Struthio camelus: one gene and its partner. The protein of the gene in region 1 interacts with the protein of each later gene in a pairwise test. Links are inferred from orthologs where the notes say so. Each region holds a gene or a part of one and is shown on either strand. Other genes may lie near its edges.

What was found.
Region 2: the proteins of MID2 (region 1) and BYSL interact in binary tests that used the Homo sapiens proteins (3 or more experiments, as listed by UniProt). The two-hybrid records come from large-scale screens. The link is inferred for Struthio camelus from reciprocal best matches to the Homo sapiens genes MID2 and BYSL.

What each region holds. Positions count from the first base shown.
Region 1 is NC_090952.1:2,236,095-2,243,113, forward strand, and holds the start of MID2 (probable E3 ubiquitin-protein ligase MID2), read right to left. Parts: upstream 3,019-7,019; 5' UTR 2,893-3,018; intron 1-2,892. UniProt on the Homo sapiens protein: E3 ubiquitin ligase that plays a role in microtubule stabilization. Mediates the 'Lys-48'-linked polyubiquitination of LRRK2 to drive its localization to microtubules and its proteasomal degradation in neurons.
Region 2 is NC_090965.1:6,382,060-6,389,104, reverse strand, and holds the start of BYSL (bystin), read right to left. Parts: upstream 3,020-7,045; 5' UTR 2,993-3,019; coding exon 2,752-2,992; intron 2,668-2,751; coding exon 2,493-2,667; intron 2,408-2,492; coding exon 2,269-2,407; intron 1,765-2,268; coding exon 1,631-1,764; intron 1,379-1,630; coding exon 1,218-1,378; intron 662-1,217; coding exon 559-661; intron 186-558; coding exon 1-185. Other genes in the region: MED20 (mediator of RNA polymerase II transcription subunit 20), read left to right, coding at 3,155-3,168, 3,825-3,979, 5,908-6,161. UniProt on the Homo sapiens protein: Required for processing of 20S pre-rRNA precursor and biogenesis of 40S ribosomal subunits. May be required for trophinin-dependent regulation of cell adhesion during implantation of human embryos.

The sequences.
Region 1 (7,019 bases):
GTCCACATCTCTGGATCCGCAGAGATCCAGCCTCTCTGCCTGGACGGCCAAGAGCCACAGTTTCTCAGACTACCAGCCACATTGCAAAAGAGCAGCCCTGAGATGCGAGAACTGTCAAAAGTCAGTAGCTGACCTGAGACATGACAGGTTCAGCAAAACACTCCGTACTTCCGGCTGGCCAAGCAACTCCCAGCAGCAGCCCCAACCACTGACTGCACACAAATGCACCTGAAGCCAAACGCTAGGGGATTCCGGATGAAAAATTCAAGTGCAGACTTGGAAACATACCTCCCCAGCCCAAAGAGGAGATGATAGAGTCCTGATTAAAAAAAAAAAAAAAAAGTCAACCATTCTCTTGTCTCAAGGACGATCCCACCCCTGTTTACAAACATATATATATGCAATCACATACAAACTGTTAGCATCCCCCCCCCAACACTGTGCCTTTGCCAATGAGGCCATCAGATCACACTGCGCATGCAAGCAGACCCTTCAAGGGAATTTATCATACACTGCAGCATAATTTCATTTTCTAAAGCAACGTTTACAAAACAGGCAGTGCAACTTTTCGGACACTCACTGTACGCACTACTTTCACCTGATGCCGCAAAAGGCTCCGCAGGGCACAGACCTGTCTCTAATTGTTTGTAAAGCAGCAGGCACACCCAGGGCTCTCTGTAGCAATAACACCACCTGCCTGAATCAATGCAACTGCTTCTATCGCTGACACTTGCTCTTCCTCCTTGTATTTTTATCCCCACTCACTGCCTTTTCCGAGCTGGTTTCCCAGAAGTAGTTTTGTGGAATAGCCCCCTGGAACAGAGATCATCGCAGCCTTACAACACTACCGCCCAGCGGGCAAATGCCACAAATAAACCTGCGTTCACGGCCTCCCCTCCCCCTTATTTCTTGCCCATTCACAAGAAGAAAAAGCCAAGTGAACAGCTCTGAGCGCGTTCCTAGCAGGCTAAATGCAGCAGCGACAACCCCAGCACAGAGACCAAAGCACCCGCAGAAGCCACGAAGCTCTGCACTCACCAGCCTGCCTTTGTTTATTCCACAGACATCTTACCCCACATCCCCCAACTAGTTTGCCCTCCTCTGCCACAAACCGGGCCGTGCAGGACCTCGACGCCTCTGCCCCCGATCCCCAGATCACATTGGAGTGGGGGGAGATAAGGAAGGAAGGGCACCATTCTTCTTCTTAGAAGGTTCAAGAAGCAGTTCAGACCCCAACTCGACGCGTCTCGGTCCCACGCACAGCACGACAAGCAGTTGGCACCGCTTCCCAAATTCCCAGCATGCTGTCCAGCAGTGACCTCACTTGTAAGACAATACACTGTCTAGGAGCAAACGATGACTCCGTGCCGATACAGAGAGCCTTCGTGGGTACAGGCTGCCAGCTTCGTTCTAGCTACGGCAGCTACTCAAAGACAGACGGTCTTCTTGAAGCCGCTTTCAACAACAAAGACTCAGCCGAGGTTTTAGAGCTTGCTTCAGAGCGGGAGAAGACCTGGGCAAAAGCCAGACAGAACAGGCACAGTTGAAGCCATTAACACCCCAGCGTGTCAGGACTTGAGAAAACTGTAGGGCAACAAGACACATTTGCCCTCTCCAAAAGCTCTACAACCCATTCAATGGAATGGCCATTTGCCGCCTGTGAACTACGTTACAAACATCTTTAGCTGTGCACATCAGAGCAATAAAATATGCAGTTGATATGTTTTTGGAGGCAAGAGACATAAATAAAGCTTAAAGACTAGGAATTCAAGTCTTGAGTGTCACTCAGCCACATTTTCTAACAACTTGTCAGATACTTAATGCAACCAAAATACGCTACACTTCAGGACTAGCAATAATATCAGTCCTGCACAGTCAATTAAATGGTAGAGCAATATCCCATGAAATATTGCACAGTCTCTCAGTGAGACAGAGGGGTTAGCATTATTAGAGACATTACACGTGCCCCTTTCCGCCTTGCTTTGCAAGAATGCTAGAAGATTTCTGAAGACGCCAGCCTCGGGAGACCCCCTTATCTTTTAACTTCAATTTAGCTAAACTTTATCATCGCTAAAGCTGTGAAACACTGCTAGCAACGAAAACTGGAGCAACCAGAAAGCAGCCACACTGCACAGGGCTCCCTGCTGACAGCAGTGGGAGCCTGAAACTGAAAACGCAGTGATTTAAAATGTAGTCGCCAGGCTGAGAGGCAGAAAGGATGTGACACACGCGCACACTACCTGGAAAATCAGGAAAAGGGTGGGAGATGCTAACTAAACTGGCTGGCACGGAGAGCTTGGAGTGGGAAGGCAAGTTTGTCCTCTCCGGCTCGCCAGCCTGAAGGCCAACTAGCAAACAAATAGCTGTTTCATACTAGGATGGTTCCGAGCAAACAGAAACGGCTAGGAAGGAAAGGGGACGTCTCACTGCACCTCGCGTTGGCTGGTCTTGCAGGATGGACTCGGCGCACCTGAACTTCCTCCCGTGGAAGGGGAAAAAGGCTGGGAGGGCGCCGAGCGCAAACTCCTCTGTTCTTCCCCACCGAGGAGCGGAAGATGCTTAGGAGCATTTGCAAACACACTTCGCAGCTGGCAGAGCTGCCTGCGCACCGAGCCGCCGCCGGCTCCGGGCGTCGCCGGCTCCGGGCAGGGCGAGAGCCCCTGGCAGCGCCGTGGCCGGGAAAGCACGGGGCGGTGCGGGCCCCCGCTCCGCTCTGCGCCGCTTGCTGCAAAATCGCAACGGCAGCGCCGGGGACCCGAGCCCTGCCCGCCACCCCGCGCCCTCGCCCCCTCGGCGACCGGCCAGGCACCCTCACCCCGGGGCCCCGGTACTCCCGCGGGCTCCGGGCGGCACCCGCCCGCCCTGCTCCGCTCTCCCGGGGCCGCAACCTACCAGCGGGCTGCGGCAGCCTCCCCGCCGCTGCCCGGGCATCTTGGAGACGCGGCGGCGGCGGCGCGGGGGAGACGGCGGCGCGGGCGGCAGCCGGAGCGCGGGGCGGGAGGCGGGCGCCGCGCTCCCGCCGCCTCCGCCCTGCCTCGCGCCCGCCCTCCCTGCCGCCCCCCCGCCCTCCCGCCGCCGCCGCCGCCGCCGCCGCCGCCGCCGCCGCCGCCGCCGCCGGCCCTGCCCGCCGCCGCAGGTGAGGCAGCGCAGCAGCACCAGGCACGGCGGCCTCGGGGCCGCGCTCCCCCCGCCCGCCCCGCCGCGGTGGCACCGAGCCAGGGCGCGCCGGGGAGGCTCCAGCGGGGCCGGGCGCCGCGGAGCCGGGCCGGGCCGGGCGGTACCGCCCCGCGGCCGCCCCTTCCTGCCCCCGGGCGCGCCGTGTCTGCCTGAGCGGCGGCGGAGGAGAGAGGCTGGAAGGCCGGCAGGGAACGGCGAAGCCGCGGGCCCGCGCGGGCCGCGCCCCGACGTGCTCCGGGGGCACCGGCCCGCGGCGCCCGGGGTCGGGGCCGAGGACAGCGCAGCCCTTAACCACCCGTCTTCTGTCCCCCCGCACGAGGAAGAGGAGCGTAGCGTTAGGAAACATTTCTTCCTTGTGCACAGACCAATAGCGATTACAAGGATAGTCAGACATGTACATCAGGCAAAGGCTTTAAATGAGATCCGTGGGGTGTTTTATTATTATTACAGTGGAGGAGATACTTAAAAGTTGAGATTAAATTTCTTCGCAGCAACTCTTAATGTGTTTGCTTTTCCATTGTCCGATACAGCTGAGAAATAGATTAGATTAGTTCCCTCTCCAACCCCACTTTCTAGTCCCGAAGAGTGGGTGGATATTCTGATGTTTTTAATACAGTAAAAAAGCCTATTGGGTAAGTTTATTTTGTTATTTATAAAGTGCATATATACATACATACATATAAGTGCAAAGCAATAACATCAAAGAGATACAAGGGAAGGGGAACCCAGAAATGTAATTTATTCCTTGGTAACAGGCATATATGCTGTACAGGTTATTTATATTTGAAGACTGCCTGGACTGTTAAATGACCCTTCTCTTTAAAATAAATAGGAGGAAAAGTATATCCAGGATCTCGGTGCCGCTCAGTGAGGTAGGAAGAGATCCTTTCAGATGTCAAAGGAACGGTTTAGTGTGCAGGGACCTGCAGCCCTTTCATTTTCTGCCCTTAATTCACTTTGATATCGTCATTGCATGCCCAGACACATAGTATGTGCTTCATTTTTACAGTAAGGCACCGAACACATGGTAGTTGTCACACTGTGAAATTCCAGTGGAAAAAGACAGCTGTACTTTACCGAGTAATAGAAGTCAACATCATAACCACAGCCAGGGTTGTTCTCACCTAGTTTACCTTGCAGAAAAATCACAGATCCTGTTCCCTAGGAGAATCTGACAGTGGGATAGTTAATGTACACCAGTTATTCGGCGTTAAATCCTATCTCTGCTCTTTTGACAGGGAAAACAGTCTGCATTGCTGTGGCCAAGTCACGTAATTCATAGCTGTCCTGGGACTGATTCTTGTCATTTGCATCTGTGCAAACCAAGCGAGAAGAGAACAAACAGCCCGATCAGAGCCTGATAGGGCCCAATTCTTCCTTTGTTTAGACAGGCAGGAAATTAAAGCAACTTTCCTGAATTCAGTGCTATTAATAGGCTGCAGCAGGTACCTGGGATCAGATTTAGTCTGTTGGGCAAAGTTATACATCCTGCACTGGTGTTTAGGGTCACCAATTACCAGGTGCAGAGACCCCCGCCTATGTGTGTACATTTGTGAACACAGTATAGCTTAGATGAGGCAGTACAAGGGGGAGACACTGACTGTATGGGCCAATGGAAACATGAAGCAGCAGGGAACAGCAAAGATAATAGCGCAGATGTGCAACCCAGAGACGAGGCACATCAGGCTGCAACAGAAAACAGGCTGCTAACAACTAACAGATGACTGGAGACCACAAACACCCCATTTCAAAGGACTCTGCAGGTAACCGAGCCTGGATTCACATGGCTTCTGCACTGTGATCAGGGCTGCCAAGGAGCAGCTGTCACAGGAGTCTGGTAGCTTGGCTCAGCCCCAAGCTCAGAGACCTTCAAGCTTCCTCCCAAAGCATGCTGGTGAGAAAGAGAGCCCAGCCAGCAGGCATCATGCAGCAGTAGCCAGCTGTGTGGTATCCTGATCTCACACCTTCTCCCAGCTATGATGACAACCTTACCACATCACTGGGAAAGGTAGGCAAGCTGGCAGGGACAGGGAGCATGGGAGAAACAGAGGCTTTGGAGTTGCTGCTAGGGACGATATGGAGGGGATAAGTGTCAGTGCCTCTCTTTCCTGTCCTCCAGGAATCTAACTACTGCTGTCTCTCTCACACTTGCAAATCAAAGCCCAATGGCGGATGTGCACAGCTGTGGCTCCATCTGTAGAACACACCAAATACCATGGCCCAGGTGGGCTGAGACCTACCAGGCCACAGCTCGGTGTCAGGGGTATTTTAAGCCCCCAAACAGTTTTTCTAAAGGGATCCACAGGAGATAGGATTTTGTCAGGGAACATTACCACCACTGTCAGCTTGATGAGTCCCTAGCCTAGTTAGGCCTCTGGATTACAAACTGGAAGTGTCAGAGGTGACCTTGGGCAAATATTTACAATTACAGTGTTGCTCTATATGTGCATGTGTTCTAAACACAGAAGGGATCAGGTCCAAATGACACTTTAATTGAGCAAGCAGGGCGGTAGGAGGGTAGAGCTCTTTATGCTAATGTGCTAACAACTCAAGAGTGAATCATATTAATTAGGGGTGGGGAGAACATGTCCATCTGCCCGTGAAGTCATTTTGGAGTGTCAAGTGCTCAGCACCTCTTCCAGCAGGACTTGTGCATTTTGAATAGGGACTGACTTGATTTGTGTAACATGCAGCTGTGAGCATGTTGTTAGGACTAAGGGAATCGTGATTATATTGCCCAAGGCTGGTATGTGTTAGCATCCACATTTTACAAATGGGGAATGGAGGCACTCAAGTTATACTGCATGCCTGGGATGCTTAGTGAATAAATGACACAAAGTTATAAAGCGGGACTCCCCCTCTCTGAAATTTGTTCTTGCAGTAGAAAGCATAGGGGGGGAAAAATCCTTTTAAGTTCTGAATCCCTCTTCTTGCTTCTTCCTAAAAGCAGGCAGGTAGTTGTAGAGATGAGCAGGAATGAATGAGCAGGATGAATTCCCCAAGAAGAATCTTCTAGTTTCTTCTTATGTTTTGATAACGTCATTTTTTGAAGTTTCATTAGCACCTCCTGTATCTCCAGTTCTTACCCAGAGGCATTCACTTCCTCCTCCGTCACTGTGCATGGAACAGCAGCTCAGTTCATGTATAGGAAGTGGATACTTTGCACCACCTCATGTTGAGGCCTGGAATTTCAGAGTCTGATCACAATTTCAGTTCTGTCCTGTGATGCCTAAACCAGAGGCCTCACAAACTTGCCCCAAAACAGGCTCTTCTGGCTTAGCATGCACTTTCCCAATGCCTCTGTGTCTTGCAAGACAGCAGTCCCACTGTCATGCTCTTCATTAAGGCTTTATTGTTAAAAGTTTTCATGCAGCAGCAACAGGGCTGAACTGCCTCTGTGTAGTGTTTGAGGGCTGCTTTTCCAGAGGCAGCAAGTTGTTGTCAAATGCATTGTGCATGTCTTCTTGGCACGCATACCAGCCAGAACAGTTTCTTAACCCAGCCCAGCCATTCGTTGTAAAAGACATGACAGGCTTTCACACTACCCTATTTATGAGCAGTTCCCTTTTTACCTTTTCACATGTGAATGGGAGCAACTGAAGGAGGGGAAGGATGCAAAACTCCCGAGTTCAGTTGCTCCCATTCACTTCCCCCTTCTAACCCTGCTGCAGCTCAGGGGCAAGAAGGAGAAGGCAAGAGGGCTCTTTTGAACTGCTGAGGGAGCAGCAGCGTGATAGGGCAAGGTGCTGAGATGAGGCTCCCATTAACTGGGAGCTAGCACAGGACTAGATGCAAGGCGTGCGACTGGAAAGAAGCAGGAAATTTCCTGCCACAGCATCTAC
Region 2 (7,045 bases), on another chromosome or scaffold:
AGGCCAGGAAGCTCTGGTGCCACAGGACAGGGAGGACCCGCTGGTCTGTGCGGAAGGCCAGGAAGTGGAAGACAAGCGCATCCACCACGCGGAAGGGCAGTGCATACTTCTTGTCAATGAGCAAGCGGAGGAAGATGCTGTTGGCACCGCTGTACTGCATCTCAGCAATCTTCAGCATGGCTGCGCTGTGGGGACGGAGGGAGCACCAAGGTGAGGGCAGGTGTGGCAGGGCCTCAGCACCTGCAGGCCAAGCAAGAGCTACGGGGCACCCGTGACGTGGACAGCTGAAGGCTCCCTTTCTCCCAGGTTAGCTTGTCCCTTGAGCCCTGCCCCAGTGGGTCCCAGACACACGGATGACAGCCCCAGCACTGCAGGAAGCCTTGAACCTCAGCCCTGCACAGACAAGGCAGAGCTGGGTGAAACCTTCTCTGTCTCCGAGAGGCCAGAGAGGCTTAGGGACAGATCCATTGCATCGCTCCGGCATCACAAAGGGAGAACCGTTCCCCCTGCCCATCCTTCCCAGTACCCCATGGCAGCAGGGCCCCACTGCCACGTTACCTGGAGTGAAGGACAGGGATAGAGCACTTGGTGAGGATGCTGCCGATGATGATGGCTTCCCGCAGCGTGCAGGTCCCCGACTCGCACAGGGGGATGAGGATCCCTGCCAGGGGCGGGGGGGAAAGTGTTAGACACTGCTGTCCTTAAACATAGCAGGCAGAGCTGCCTTCTCCTATCCCCGGATGCATCTGACTCCAGGAATTAGAGGATCCTCCATTGGTTTATGTTATGGGAGTTTCAATATCTCTTTCCACCCTCTTCTCCATGCATCTAGCACCAAACATCCTCAGGTTGCTAGACAATATGCAGATCAGGCCTAGGATAATTTGTAATGGGCTACTGACCTCCAAAAGAAACCAAGTATCTGCCAGTATCTGCTGGCAGCACCTGCGTAACCCGCCAGTACCCATTGCCCTTCAGCACAGAAGGGTGCAAATGGGCCCAAGGGGGTCTCTACATCTCTTTTGCTTCTTCTCTGCCCTCCTTCTTCCCACCAACCCCTTGGGCTGCTGCAGCCGTGACAGAAGTCATCGCACCACACACAGCATGGTGTGCTGTTACAAGGCAAGTGTGCAACACATGCCCCTGCTGAGCTTCCCAGCTGCTGTATGGCTGCAAGGCTCCTATGTACAAACCATCACCCTGTGGGAAGTCTCTACCTTTGAACCAGGCTCCTGGCTTGAACAAAGCCTTCTTCAAAGCCATGTAGAGGTGAAAGTTGAGACGCTTGTACTCGGCGATGTCATCCCTGACCCGAGGCAGCAGTACCAGGTTGTAGAACCTCTGGGCCATCCTTTCTTTCAGGTTGGATGAAAATATCCTGGGAAGAGCGAAGCACAAAGCAAGCTGTGATCTGTCTGTCTCTGGAGAGAGGTCCTGGGAGTGTGTAACTGCAGGCAGTACCTGAGCCAGGGCATCAGCTATGAGATCCCCATGACTCCCTCCACCTTGGCATGCAAAGGAACAGGAAAGCAGGACACAGACTGGCATTTTGCGTATCTGGTATTCGCTTGTGGAAAGATGAAGCGAATAATAAAAAAAAAAAATCAGTAATTCCCAGACACAATTCTACCTGGTTGCTTGGTACATGGCAGCTGCTGTCCATGTCTCTGGCTCTGTGATGTACAGGATCTGCTCCCAGTTGGATAAGGCAGGAATGATTTTAAATGCCTTGGGGAGTTTGCCACTCCTGTATTTGGACAGCACCTTAAAAAAAAACAAAAAAAGGAATGGATGCAAGCCTGGCAGTGATATAGTGGAACTGACAGCAGGACCATGGGGATTCGTCAGGATTTGTTTCATGACCTTGAGATTCAGTCATTCAGAAACACTCTGGGGTCTTCAGTGAATGACACTATGTAAATCGCAGTTAATTTATTTTGAAGAGAAAGAGCACACCCAGGGAAGCACTGTCTGGGCCGTGCTAACTAATCACACCACCCTCCCATTTCTGGTGTGGGGTTTCTCTCGGGCTTCCCAGGGTGTCTCACTGCAAGGAGATTAGCAACTTTGCTCATGAAAATGCCAATTTACCCCCAGCTGAGCTTCTCTCCTTGAACACGTCCTGATCGCTGTACTTACTACCAGCGAAGGGAAAGGGGGGCTCGGCAGCGATCGCTGCCAGGTGAGCGCTACGGGCTGTAGCAGAACAGCCTCTGAGGCAGCCTCGCCGCCGGGCCCCCGCGCAGAGCGGAGCCGCCTCGGCCTTACTTCTCGGACGCCCCTGTAGACCTCCAGGACGCGGGGGTCGAGCTGAGGCATGGGGCAACCCGTTATCTCCGACATCGCCGTCTCCACCTCCGTCTGCTTCTCCGTGATCTTCTCCATGATGATGTCCGCCAGCGTGCGCCTGGGGCCGGGACGAAGGGAAGCGAGAGTGAGTCAAGCGTCGGTCCCCGGCCCCCGGCCCGGCGCCCCGCCGGCCCCCGGCCCACCTCAGCGGCGGGTTCCTGCTCATGAACATCTCGATGGCCTTCTCGTCCTCGGGGTCCACGGCCACCTCCTGGCACCACCGCCCCGCCGCGGCCTGCTCCAGCGAGGGCCACTCTTCCTCCTCCTCCTCCGCCGCCGCCTCCTCCTCCTCGCTGTCCGGGCCGGGCGGCGCGGGGCCTGCGTGAAACGGGGCCGGGTCAGCGCGGGGCAAGGCCGGACCCCCCCCCCCCGGCCTCCCCCCGACCCCGCCTCGGGGCTCACCCAGGGCAGCGGCGGGCGCGCCGGGGCCGTGCTCGGCCTCCAGCTCCTCCTGCTGCCGCCGCGCCTGCTCCAGGATCCGCCGCGACAGCCGCGAGTCCACGTAGCCGCCATCATCATCGCCACCCGCCGCGCCGCGCCGCTTCACGCGCGCCGTGGGCCGCGGCGCCGCCGCCCGCAGGATCTGCTCGGCCAGCGGCGGCGCCCGCTCGCGGGGCCCTGCCCGGGCCGGGGCCTTCGGCATGATGGCGGCGGCGGCGGCGGGGGAGCGAGGCCGGGCCGGGAGGGCGCGCGCGGCGCCGCAGGCACCACGTCACACGCCGCCTCACGCCCCGCACGTCACTTCCGCCCCGCCCGCGGCCCCCGCGCGGCAGCGGCGCTGCCGGGGCCGCCGCCGCCGCGCGCCATGGGCGTCACGTGGTAAGGATGGCGGGGGGGGGGAGGGGGGCGCGAGGCGGTTCCCCCTCTCCCCTCCACCGTGGGTGCCGTCTCGGGGGGCTGCGGCGGACGGTTCCCCCGTGGGTGCTGGCCGGGGGGCAACTGCATGTTCCCTCCCCCGTGGGTGCTCTCGTTGCGGGGGTTGCGGTGTTCCTTCCTCCTCCCGTGGGCCCCGTCACGGGGAGGCCGCAGCGGGAGCTGTCCCCCCCCCTTCCGTGGGCCCCGTCACGGGGAGGCCGCAGCGGAGGGTGTCCCCCCCCTTCCGTGGGCCTCGTCACGGGGAGGCCGCAGCGGAGGGTGTCCCCCCCCTTCCGTGGGCCCCGTCACGGGGAGGCCGCAGCGGAGGGTGTCCCCCCCCTTCCGTGGGCCCCGTCACGGGGAGGCCGCAGCGGAGGGTGTCCCCCCCCCTTCCGTGGGCCCCGTCACGGGGAGGCCGCAGCGGGAGCTGTCCCCCCCCCTTCCATGGGCCCCGTCACGGGGAGGCTGTGGCAGATGGCCCCCCCCCAGCGTGGGTGCTGTCACGGGGGGACACCGTGGCCCTCCCCCCGTCCCGGGTGCCGTTAACCCCCTGGCTCGGGGCCGTGGCGGCCAGGCCGGGTCCCCGGGCTCGCAGGCGCCGCTGACGCCTCCCCCCGCAGCGTGGCGCAGGTGCCCGTGGCCGAGGGCAAGAGCGTCCAGCAGACGGTCGAAATGCTGACGAGGAAGCTGGAGCTGCTGGGGGCGGAGAAGCAGGGGACGTTTTGCGTGGACTGCGAGACCTACCACACCGCCGCCTCCACCATGGGCAACCAAGGTCAGGGCCGGCCCCCCGCTGCCGCCACCCCCGGGCATGCCCCGCAGCTGCGGTCCCCCGGAGACCGGTCGCGGTAAAAGGGAGGGAGGTGGTTGCAGGCTCTCATCCAGTGCCAGCTCGGAGGCTTCTCTTCTCCCGTGAGCGTTTCTCGGTCTTTCATCTCGTGCCCAGCGTGCTGGTAGCGAAATCCGGCTGCAGTAACAGCGAGGTCCCTTGTGGAACAAGCGCGTGCTACGTGCGAGATCGCCGCTCTGCCCTGCAATTGAGGTTTCTTCCACAAGTCAGCATCATTTTATTTATTGTGTTGAGCTCTTGTGGGGAACGGGCAGTTGCCTGGCTGCTTGTAAAAGCTTTTTTCTACCTTGAAAGATTCATACCGCAGTTCACCTCTTCCCCTCTCAGATGAATAGCTTTGGGAAACATAGCGCCCCTGCGCATCGTCCCCAGAGAGCCGGGGAAGGTCATTCCGACAGCTCCGCTGGCCCCGCGGCTGGGTGCTGCGTGCCGTGGGCTGCCCTGGAACAGACATGTTGAATGACTAAACGCGCCGTTCCACTTGGGAGCCTGTTGTGTCTCACTAATGCTGTTTTCTCTGTTACACACATGCCCCACGGTTGTCCTTTCCTGCACTGAGGATAGCTGTGTTGTGTCAGCGCTTAAGGATTCTTAACTGGAATATCAGCAGCTGTGTAGGATCTCTCTTTTGTGCGTGTGAAATAAGATAAGTGGTCAAAAACCAGCTGCCAGTTTGGCAGTGTTTTTTTCCCTAAGGCTTCTTAAAGCGTTACTGTTGGTGACTTGTTTTGGAGGCTGCGTTTTGCACAGCAGCTAAGTTACAGGAGTCTCCTGAGAGCAACTTGTTGCTGTCACCTGCTCTGCCCTTCTTCTCCAGGAGGGTGAGCGATCGAGGGCAGGAGGTGGTAGCAGAGAAGAAAGCAGGCTCCCCAGGGCAGGCAGGCGGTGGTGAGCAGCTCTAGGGGAATTTCTGAGGTGTGAAATGACCCAGTCGTGGCCGGGGGATGTGCTTGGAGGACCTGGCATTCCCTCTGGACATCACAGGGCCTAACGGGAGAGCTGAAAGACGTGACTTAATCTGCTCACTTGGGGGGACTGTGCTCCCCTCCTTTTCCCTCCCAAGCATGTGGCTTTTAACAGCATTTAAAAACCAGTGTGAACATCCCTCCAGTGTTTCTGCGGCTGCAGAGGTCAGCACTGAGCCCTTCCAGCCTCACCGCTCTTCCCAGGCAGATTGGTGCAGCTGGGGTGCTGCTTCAGCTGCCCTGCTGTCGGGTTTTGCGGATGTGTCTGCAGGTTTGAAGCTATGAGAGGGGCTTTTTGCTGGAGCTGGAACTGGAACTTGCACAATCACATCTGTTGAGAGGCTTTTTTAACCAACACAGATAAATGAGAATCCTCTTCCACTTCTGAATCACTGTACAAGCTAGGCACATCCTCTCTGGATGTCCTGTTTTCCAGAATGTGCCCAGGCACCTCCTTCCTTTGCTAGCTCTGTGGGGCTGGTCAGCGACTGGGAGATGAGGCAAAACCCAGCTTTTCTCCCTTTACTGCAGGGCTGAAGAGGACAGCCCCATGTTCTGGGAGGGGAGCAGGTGCTCTTTGCTGACCCTCTCATCCTGCTGGAGATCTAACATCCAAGTCTGGCCCTTGAGTTGCACTGCCGTCTTGTCCCTGGGCAAGGAGTGGCTGCATGAGATTTTTTTTTCCTTTAGTTTTAAACCCTAAGAGGGAAATATAACCTATCTCCGGAACACTCAGAAAACGTAAAGTGTGTGAGACTAATACAAGGATCCTAGAATTGAAGCAGCAAGGAAAACAAAGGGAAAGCAAAGAGATGTTTCTTTCTTAAAAGCACATACAAGCACAGGACTGTTGTTTCTGCAGCCCATATATCATTGCTCTTGTTTCAGGGCAGACAGGCAAGCTGATGTATGTGATGCACAACTCTGAATATCCCCTCAGCTGTTTCGCTCTCTTTGAAAATGGTCCCTGCCTCATAGCAGATGCCAACTTTGATATCCTTATGGTGAAGCTGAAAGGCTTCTTCCAAAATGCCAAGGCGAACAAGATAGAGAGCCGGGGAACCCGCTACCAGTACTGTGACTTCTTGGTGAAGGTGGGCACGGTTACAATGGGGCCCAGTGCCCGTGGGATATCTGTGGAGGTAAGGATTGTCTTTGATTGATATAAAATACAACTACAGATAGAGAAATCTCATATTAGATGCTAGACTAGAAATCTTGAGCCCCTCTTCCTTCCATGTATTGACTGCTTGGCCTGCAGGCCAGCCTCTCAAATGTGAACTTGTATACTAGTTGCTGTTAGTTTGTACTAGATGTATTCGTGTATGTGCAAGGAGTATTTATTGCCTTTTCAAGGCAAGGTTTAATTCAGGCAGATACTCTGGGGCTCAGCTGCAGCTGTGGAAGAGCCTGTCATTGAAGTGTCAATAAACAAAGCCCTGAAGGGATGCCATCAAACTAAAAAGCTGCTTAAAGTCCTGACGCACGACACTAGTAGCACGCTTCAGGTTATTAAACATACCAAGGGGGACAAAACAATCTCTTTAGCTGATAATTTAATGCTGATTTGGGTTTTGCTTTCTTTCCCCATCTTGAGCAGAAAATGGCTGGGCTTAGGCATCCCAGTGGAGAGCACGGTCCTCCTGCCCTAGGTTCTGCACGCACATGGCATAAAGATGGCGTCTCCTCTTCAGAGAGCTTTGCGTTGCAGGCGTCAGTCCTACCCCATGGCTGACCTGGATTGCTGCACTGTGGGGTGCAGTGTGGGCACAAAGCCTGTCATCAAACAGCTTCCGCTGTTTCTGCTCAGCAGCCTGACTGTTGATTAGGCTTGAGAGCACCAGTTGTTTCGTGCCAGCTGCAGGGCGATCCTTCAGTACAGATGAAGGGTCACAGGAGGAGCTATGAAGTCATTTGGGGAGACAGTTGGCTGAATGGATGTGCAACTCAAAGGCTTACGAGCCATGGACGAGCCTCACCTGGGCTGAAAAGGCTCTCAGAATAAGACAAGAAGCTGGTCTGTGCT